Linked DNA regions of Xenopus tropicalis. The main gene of each other region encodes a partner of the protein of the gene in region 2 in a complex. Links are inferred from orthologs where the notes say so. Each region holds a gene or a part of one and is shown on either strand. Other genes may lie near its edges.

Region 1 (4,784 bases), about 9.4 Mb from region 2:
TCCCCTTTAATGCAAAACAAAATCTGGCTGAGCTTCCTTACTACATCTAAGGAGCAGAATTTTCAAGATATGAGATGAGATTTTACCACAGAAAAACTCCTTTCCTATGGGAGTTTTAGAAGCGTTTTTATCAAATGGTGAACTCTAAAAAGTGTATTTATTAGTTGGTGAAAGTTAAAGTCTCATAGGAATGAATATAAAGTGGGTGATTTTTTTCTGTGGTAAACTCTAATTCCATTTTGATAAATCTACCCCTAAGTCTTTTACTCCATAGTATTCCTAGGTACTTTCTTACCATTGTTCACCTTAGGCTCATTTAGACTATAAGAAACTTTTGCATCAGGGCTGCATTTCCAGACTGAGATTCAACAGGCCCTGGAATGTCAAGTACAGGAAGGGCCCACAATATATTTGCTACAATCCACAGATTGCGGTCTGGGCCTGCAGGACTGTCAACTGTCAGCCATCACATATGGAGAGCAGACATCCTCCATTGCCCGTAAATTCAAGAGACATCGTTTTTTCCCTGCCAACACTTGGAGCATCTCTGAGCAATGTTTCCAGACTGCAGAACAAGGAAACAAAATTGTAAAGGTAAAGCTGAAAAGTTGAGGGGAGAGCAAACAAAAAAAAGACATGTTGGGGAAGAAGGGAGGATCAGTCCTGGTAATCTCCCAACCCTCAAAGTGCAACAATATCTGGCCCTTGCTCTCTAAAGCTGGCCATACTCGCACCGATACTATTGTACGAAACCTCGTTTCGTACGATATTCGGTGCGTGTATGGCATGTAGGCAAGTCGACTGATATCGCAGGAAGCTGCTGATATCGGTCAACTCGCCGATCGGCCAGGTTAGAAAATTTTGATAGGGTGCCATAGAAGGCGCCTGACCAAAATCTGCCGTCAGGGCTGAATCGGCAGAAGGAGGTAGAAATCCTATTGTTTCTACCTCCTTATCTGCTGTTTCAGCCCTGAACGGTGTGTGGCGGATCTGACGATGTTTCGTGCGACCATGTGGCCACCTTTAAGCTGCCCATTACAGGCTGATTAAATGTACACACTGCAGCCCACCAAACCAGACACCTTGAACGACCAATATCTGGCTTATGGAGTTCGACAACAGGGTTGTGTCTTTTTAAACAAACCCTAAACATACATGTATATAGAACAGCCCTGTCTGGATTCTATTGACCTACATGGGTTTGTGTCACTTGTACACATTGTCTCAGGACAATCATTTTATAGCTCGCAGTTAAAACCACTCACTGGGGATATTTAGCAAAGAGAAGCGAGTAAAGAAAAAGGACTGGAAGGTACTGAAATGCTTCTGTGCAATTAGTCTTCTTTTAAAAATCAGCAACACAGCTATGAACATAAACAGGCCCAGACTACTCCCCCCAGCAGCCCAATAAATAGTAACATGGCACCTTACAGCAGCCCCTCTGGCATTTGCCAGAACCCACAGATTGCCAGTCTGGGCCCAAGCAAAGACACGCTGGTTAATCCTGGGCAGAACAACACCGACCCAGTAGCCCACAGGTACCACTGATTAGTTTTTATGCAGTTACAGCAAAAGCAGCAACCTGATTGGCTGCCCTGGATTACTGTGCAAGTTTCCCCAGAGTTGCTACATAAGCCTCACAGCTCCGTCCCCCATAATATCAGTTAGCAGCTAAGGAGCAGCTATTAAGTAGCAGGACTGAGCAGTTTCATTCCCCCTTAGACTTCAGTCACCGCATGAAGCAACACCAGGCGCCAACCCGAGCTCGCTACGCCTTAAACCCTCGCCCACAAGTGCTGATAGGCTGACTCGCCATGACGACATGATTGCGCGACGCAGAACCCTCGCCCACAAGCGCTGATAGGCTGACTCGCCGTGACGACATGATTGCGCGCCGCAGAGCATGTCAGGTGACTGTCCCACGGTTCTGCGTGTGTGAGAATTCCCGCGGGTTCCTGGTAACATGTCTTCCCCGTCGCCGGAGCTTTTCAGCCCACTTCCCGCGGCCACAACGAGTGACTTGGTTGAAGCAGAGGAAGTAGTGAAGGTGAGAGCCGTGCACCTTCCCTCGCTGGTGTGTTCTGTGTTCCCAGCATGCACAGCGGTGTTATACAGCCGCAGGGATATAATCATTTATTAACTTGTGATGTCACTTGTGTATGTTATACATCTGTTGTGTTTCATTTAGCCTTAGCTACACAGTCTGCTGCTTCGCTCTCACAGTTGGCAGGGCTGCTGCTATACATGCCCCAGTGGGCCCTTAGGGGAGGCTCCTGTTACCATTGTCACCTACCTATAGTATATTCCCCAGGGATGTACCATTGTCACCTACCTATAGTATATTCCCCAGGGATGTACCATTGTCACCTACCTATAGTATATTCCCCAGGGATGTACCATTGTCACCTACCTATAGTATATTCCCCAGGGATGTACCATTGTCACCTACCTATAGTATATTCCCCAGGGATGTACCATTGTCACCTACCTATAGTATATTCCCCAGGGATGTACCATTGTCACCTACCTATAGTATATTCCCCAGGGATGTACCATTGTCACCTACCTATAGTATATTCCCCAGGGATGTACCATTGTCACCTACCTATAGTATATTCCCCAGGGATGTACCATTGTCACCTACCTATAGTATATTCCCCAGGGATGTACCATTGTCACCTACCTATAGTATATTCCCCAGGGATGTACCATTGTCACCTACCTATAGTATATTCCCCAGGGATGTACCATTGTCACCTACCTATAGTATATTCCCCAGGGATGTACCATTGTCACCTACCTATAGTATATTCCCCAGGAATGTACCATTGTCACCTACCTATAGTATATTCCCCAGGGATGTACCATTGTCACCTACCTATAGTATATTCCCCAGGGATGTACCATTGTCACCTACCTATAGTATATTCCCCAGGGATGTACATCCTGCAGTCCTATAGCTCTTGTTCAGCTGTTTTGCCTTTACTCATAGTTTGTTAGAGTCGTTCTGAGTGTTGTAATTCAGCAAGAACCTAATGGTTGCAGCTAAAATTACTTGTAATTCCCTTTACCTGCTATTAAAACACACACTTAGAGAATGTGAAGTCCATTTTTTTCTTCCATGCATTTAACCTGTACGTTAACTTTTAGCATGTTGAATGGCATATTCTCAGCAACATTTCATTTCATTTGGTCTTCTTTTTTTTTTTTTTTATAGAGTTATTTTCTTTCCCCTTCTGCTCTCAGCTCTCAAATGGGGGTCACTGACCCCTGCAGCTGAAAATCATTTGCTTTCAGTCCCCCTGTGATTCATATTTAAGCCACTGACTGGTTGCTATGGTAAAACTACCCTAGCAACTAGATAGTGGTTGAAATTCCAAGCTAGAAAGCTGCTAAACATATATTCAAAACACTCAAACACTTTACCCAGGATCACACAGTTCTAATAAATCAAGAGGTGCTGTTTTTTTCGGGTGTTAGATGTTTGCTAGGACTGTTCATGCAATCGTGAACAATGTGGTATTTTGCCTTGTGTGTAGTGATACAGTGAAACCAGGAATTACCCTTGCCTTACTATAATGCACAGCAAGCAGTGCAGGATACAGGCCCAAAGAAAGCTTAATTCTTTGTGTTCTTTTGCAGATGAAAACAGAAATTCAGCATGAAGAAATTAAGATACCGACTAAAAGTATGTTCATTTTACTCTTTTCCCACAACAATATGTTCCACCGGGATATCTGTGGCTTTTGCATTATTGCTTCTAAATATATAATACGCAAGAGAATATCACAAGAGTATCCTGTAAATGATATCCTTATAAACAGTGCTTAGTGATGTCATCAGTTATAAATGGTTCTTAGTGATGTAACTCACTGAAACTTGTGTATTATAATAAGCGATTACATTTTTCTAGAATCTTTCTTTGCGGGCTGTTCACATTTTTATAATCACTGCAAACGTGCTTATTTTGGCAGCTGTGACACATAGACAGTCCATCTTTTGCTAACAAGTGACGGTCTCTCCTCTCATTTGTCCTAATAGCAGCTCAGTAAGCCTGGGTGCCACCTCTAAAGGTTTGATATTTAATGGAGACCTAAAGAAAGGCTCTTTATAGCAATAATGCTCCCAGTCTTTAAGGTTATGTACAGGAGCTCTCCATCTTGTATTTTTTTTTTTTTTTTTTTAGAAGTGTCGCTGCACATGCTCAGTAAGGTCTGGGCAGCTGTTGAAAAGCTAAGCTTAGGGGCTGTAGCAAATTATCAAGCAGAAAATGAGGCTGGCCGGTTATAGAAGCTGATGCTACAGGGCTGATTCATTGTTGTTGCCGTGTAATCTGAATCTAAATCAATAACTAATCAGCTTTGTATTGTGACATTTATAAGTTGCCCAACTTTGGAGGCACAGATCTTCCCTGCTAAAGGGCTGTTGTTGCCTTTGGCTAGATAGAGAGAAACACAAGGAAAATAATAATCACATCTAACTTAGGTTATTTGAATGTTTCCTTTGGAACTCTGTCTGGTCAGGCACATTCTCAGTAATAAGCAGAGACATTGAAAAATGCATTTAATTAGTTAACTGTAAATAATGAATCCAATGAGCTGATACTTGCTGAACTTGGGTACCTTCCACTGGTTTTTCTATGTTGGTATCTCAGTGGGTTAAAAAGGTTTGGAAGCAAATTCATTGTTTTACTTCTCAACCTAAAGGTGCCCATACACGTTAAGATCCGCTCGCTTGGCGAGGTCGCCAAGGAGGCGGATCTTCTCCCGATATCCCCACCTACG
Region 2 (4,577 bases):
TATATCAAAAATGAATCTAAAGGCCACACAAAGAGAGAAGAAAATCCTGACCCTGGTGGGCTAAACATACTCCCTGGATGTCTTAGGGCAGCCCTTTGTGTGATTCTATAAATGGACCCACAATATACAGGAAGGCAGCCTGAGGATGCCACCTATGACAATAAGCACTGTCATAGAAGGGCACAGGCACATTCAGATGATTACCATGCTAAGTAAATGGGGGTGATTTTGTTTTTGTCCCCCACCCATGCAGCCAGGTGAGAAAATGCTAAAAACTGTATTATGAGTCTTTGCCACTTGCATAGAAATGTAGGGCATGCCTTTGCACTAACTTCATGTCTTCTATAGGCCATATGGCCCAAGATGCACCAAAGCTCTGCACTTTGTGCTCCTTCTCTATACCAGATAAAGAGAAAGCTTGGGAACATTTTAGTTACAACTCCTGTAGCTTAAACCTTAAGAACTTTACAGTTAAAATACATTGCTCTTATATGAAAAAGAATCCATAGCATATAGTACTGGAGTATCTACACTGGTAGATCTGGCAGGTAAGCAAAGAACTAGCTCCTAGTTCTAACTAAAAGAGTGTACGTTTTAAAGGGTAACTTTGTGGACAGATTGGCCCCTGGCCCACCAAAACTCAGACATTTAGCTGGGGCTGAACTGCCAGAATCCCCCTACCACAAAGAATTACACACAATCCCACATGCAAAGCCAAGGGATACTGCTGTACAGAACAGATATGAAAAAAAGAACAGAAAGCAAAGAAAGGGGCCAAGACAGAAACGTTGCCCCCTTTCACCATGCAATATATTATCAGCATTGCTTGGGGCCTAACAAAGCATAAACATTCTTAAATACTGCCAAAGAGTACAAAATATTAAGATTCCCATAGCGTATTAGACATCCTTACTTCCAACTCGTGTATAAATAAACCAAATCTGATTCAATAAGGGCCTCCTAATTGGTGTAAATAATACAGGGAATTAGGAAATGCTTGGAGCCAATAATGTAGGAGCAACTCTAGAAATGTTCTCACGCCACAAGCCATCAAACAAACATAGGACAAGCTGAAATATAAAGTCAAGATTGCCAGTATTTCCAAAATACAATGAACACTTCAAGTATAAAGGATACTGACTCCGAAATAGGAAATATCCTAAATGTGACTCAGTACGACCTTTAAAGGTAAGGCTTGAGGGACCTTTCACTCTGCCCCCTTCCCAACATAATATATTGTGGAACAAACCTAAAGCAAAAGCATTTCCAATCTGCAGCCTTCTAGCTGTTATTAACAGCAATTCCTGGCATCCTACCAATGTAGCTGGTGTTGTGGGGGTTTTAGTGCAACAATAGGAGGGCCACAGCTTAGATATGCCTAATGTACATTTGTGCCATATGCATCTTTCTACAGTGACCCCTACACAATACTGTGCATCATCCATTTCCCACGTGGGTCATGCAGCCCAATCAGTCCTGTGCTTAGCCTTAATTGTTACTACCATAACCAAACTTCCTACTGCAGCATTGTACTCTGTGCTGCACTTTCCTCTCCCAGGCTGCACATGTAGGCCAGGCCTTACCCAATCAGCACTGGGAGCAGCCAGCATGTGTCACTGATATGAGTGGGACTGATCAGGCAGCCCAGAGGAATGTCTCCTCCCTGCAGCAGCAGCAGCAGCAGCAGACAATGCTCTCGCCTTCATTAGCATACAGCTGACACTTAGGGCTTTTCATAGTGACTGTCCCACTGAGCAGCATGTGGCCCCAGGAGGCTGTCTGACCCAGGAAGCTGGCTCTATAGAACAAATGGGAGCCCTAACCCCCCCCCCCCCCCCCCCCCCCCCCCACACACACACACACACACACACTTTTACTACCAGTTAAAACTAAATGGCTTCTCTGACCATGGTAAAAGTTTCACACCAAAATGGTGTGACACAAAATGGAGGACTATGATAAATCAAGGTTCCTTAAAAAGCTAAAAAATAACCAGAATCCCCTTCTGTTTGTATACATTGTGCATTAAAGGTCCCAGAGAACAGCAGTGCACATTCTCCCTCACTCACACCCACCCTTATCCTGCTGCACAGGAAAGTACAATTAGCAAGAGAGCAGGGATGCTTGAGTTTCCAGAACAGACACAAGGCTCCACTTGTTCACTCCAACTGCACATGTGCACTACTACACACTATATACACTACTACGCACTAATAATCAGAACTCAGCATTCTAACCACAGGCCCATCACAATAACAAACTCCATCAGAAAAGCAAAGATTACCCATGAAAATTGTTGCATGCTCCATTGATCAGAAATTCCCAATATGCTGATGTGTGACTACAAAACCCTGCATCCCCTAATATCCTCTGACTTCCATGGAATGCAGGGGCTTTAGTTTCCCCAACAGCTGGTGGGCCCCATATTGCATATACCTGCACTGTATAACTACAATAACTTGCAGCAGCACAAAATTCAAGGATTTTCCCCCAAACATTGTGCTCAGTGTCTATGCATAGGAACTTCAAGTGGGGCATATATTGTACATATAAATAGGAGCAAGTTATTTTTTAATATTTCTATTATTGCTAAACCCACCATGGAATCAAACAGTGACTAAGCATGGCAAACACACACATATATATATATAGGTATAATTCATATATAAATACAATATAGCCTGATGCACTTGGAAGGGTTACTTAGTTGTAAGAGTTAAAACAATGGTGTATATGAAAATCTGTCATCCTGCTACATCTCCCCACAGCTCCAAGCAGTCCTGAGTACAAGCCCAGAAATCAGAGTGCAAAAGCAAGTAAATATGAGGAATATTATCCAATAAGTCAGCAGGGACTACCCTCCCCCCCAGGCAGAGCATGCTGCAGGAAATTAGTGCATTGTGTGGGACCATGAGAGCCTGGGGATCAGCATATATCCCAGTCTTAGGGGGGATCAGGTAAGTGGGAGGATAGAAGGGGTGACCCTTATGCAAGGGACCTACCTCAACACAGGACACGACTGGCTCACTATTCCCAGCTCACTACTAGAGCCACTCTTTGTTACCATTGCCTGAAAACTTGAAAATGAGGCAGGCATGAGCAACCGAGCGTCGAGCGCATCCACCGCGCACATCCGCGATCAGACCTAGCCAGGCACAATCAAAACAATTGGCATGTTATCTCCTGGGCAGGCTGAAGGTTGCTAGGAATTCTCAGGCATCGGCTGCTTCACTTACGTCATGGACTTTTAAACGGCAGAAGTCCCGGCGCAGTTTATTAGCCACAATCTTTAGAAGGTTACCCCGGCATGCTGGGAATTGTAGTTTAGGGAAACTGGCGAGGCTGATAGACAATGTTTACGGTTAGTGTGATTTGATAGGCTGTGCCTTTCAGCAGGAGGAAAATAAATCTCTGGGTTTTCTGCTGTCCTAGTGGGATAAATTGAGCATTAATGATTGTGATTATCCAGGCAATGTACTGGGCAAGGAGGGATGCTGGCTTATTTCAGATAATTTCAGAAGCAAACTTTAGAAGGAAAAATAAAGATGACTTTCTGTTTCATTAATAAGCAGCACTGTATGGCCATATAGCTTTATGTATGGGCAGATCATTACTTCCTTGCTTATTGGAAGCACCATGTTTATTGATTTTGAACAGACACACACCATACTAAGGACAGAAGATCACACAGTAAGATCATATGTGACTCATTGGACCGCAGACACCTAAATGGTGCTTTGATTGCCCCAAAAATCTCTATGCTTTGTGTGAAATCACCTACTAGAATGTAAAGAATGGAGGGAGACCATTAAATATCCAAAAGGGTAATGCTTGGGCCTTGATAGAGGCAGATCAACTATGGTAGGCCTATGTACAAATGAACTGCTGGCCTATCAACCTACCCACCTGTTGCTGAATAACTAAGGGTACACAAAATAATGTGCATAAAGTAACATGTATATAATTGGTTACTTTGCCTTCAGTTCATGACAGATGTAATGTAATAGTCTTGAAATGTATTTTTCACCAACGTTTTTTTCAGAATTGCTTAAAACCCCAAGGGGTGATTCAGGGTTGTGCCTTTCAGGTGGGGATTAGCTCTACATGACCTATAAAAGATTAAGAGTGTCAATGAGCAGATTAACATTCTCTTGTCATGCCTGAGGCAGAGGATATTGCCATGGTTTATTTCAATGTTTCTCTATGGGACCAGTCTGCCTTGTGCAAATTTTATCAGGCTTGAGTGGACACCTTGCCTCTTCTACATGATAATGACACATTTAAAATTAAAGTTGCAGAGAAATAGGCTAATTAATCACTCCTCACTGAAAAATATTTAGGAGAACTGTAGGTTAAGGTTTCCCACAAGATATTAATGCCAATGGGACTTGATCTCTGGTTAGTAGCCATGCTTACATTATGATACAATCAGGGGAATACTTTTTTACATTACAGCTCCTGACCTCACTTTAAAAATCAAAAAATCAACCTTTATACAAGGAGGTTAAAGAGTTAAAATGTAATTGTGTTTCCCAGGCACAAAGATTTTTTGAATGGCAGGAAAAGGGTTAAGCTAG

Evidence for each region.
Region 1: tfdp2 (region 2) and e2f6 share a complex: the UniProt entries of both Homo sapiens proteins name them as parts of the DRTF1/E2F transcription factor complex. The link is inferred for Xenopus tropicalis from reciprocal best matches to the Homo sapiens genes TFDP2 and E2F6.

What each region holds. Positions count from the first base shown.
Region 1 is NC_030681.2:138,935,156-138,939,939, reverse strand, and holds the start of e2f6 (transcription factor E2F6), read left to right. Parts: upstream 1-1,825; 5' UTR 1,826-1,963; coding exon 1,964-2,047; intron 2,048-3,642; coding exon 3,643-3,688; intron 3,689-4,784. UniProt on the Homo sapiens protein: Inhibitor of E2F-dependent transcription. Binds DNA cooperatively with DP proteins through the E2 recognition site, 5'-TTTC[CG]CGC-3'. Has a preference for the 5'-TTTCCCGC-3' E2F recognition site.
Region 2 is NC_030681.2:129,560,898-129,565,474, forward strand, and holds the start of tfdp2 (transcription factor Dp-2), read right to left. Parts: upstream 3,212-4,577; 5' UTR 3,003-3,211; intron 1-3,002. UniProt on the Homo sapiens protein: Can stimulate E2F-dependent transcription.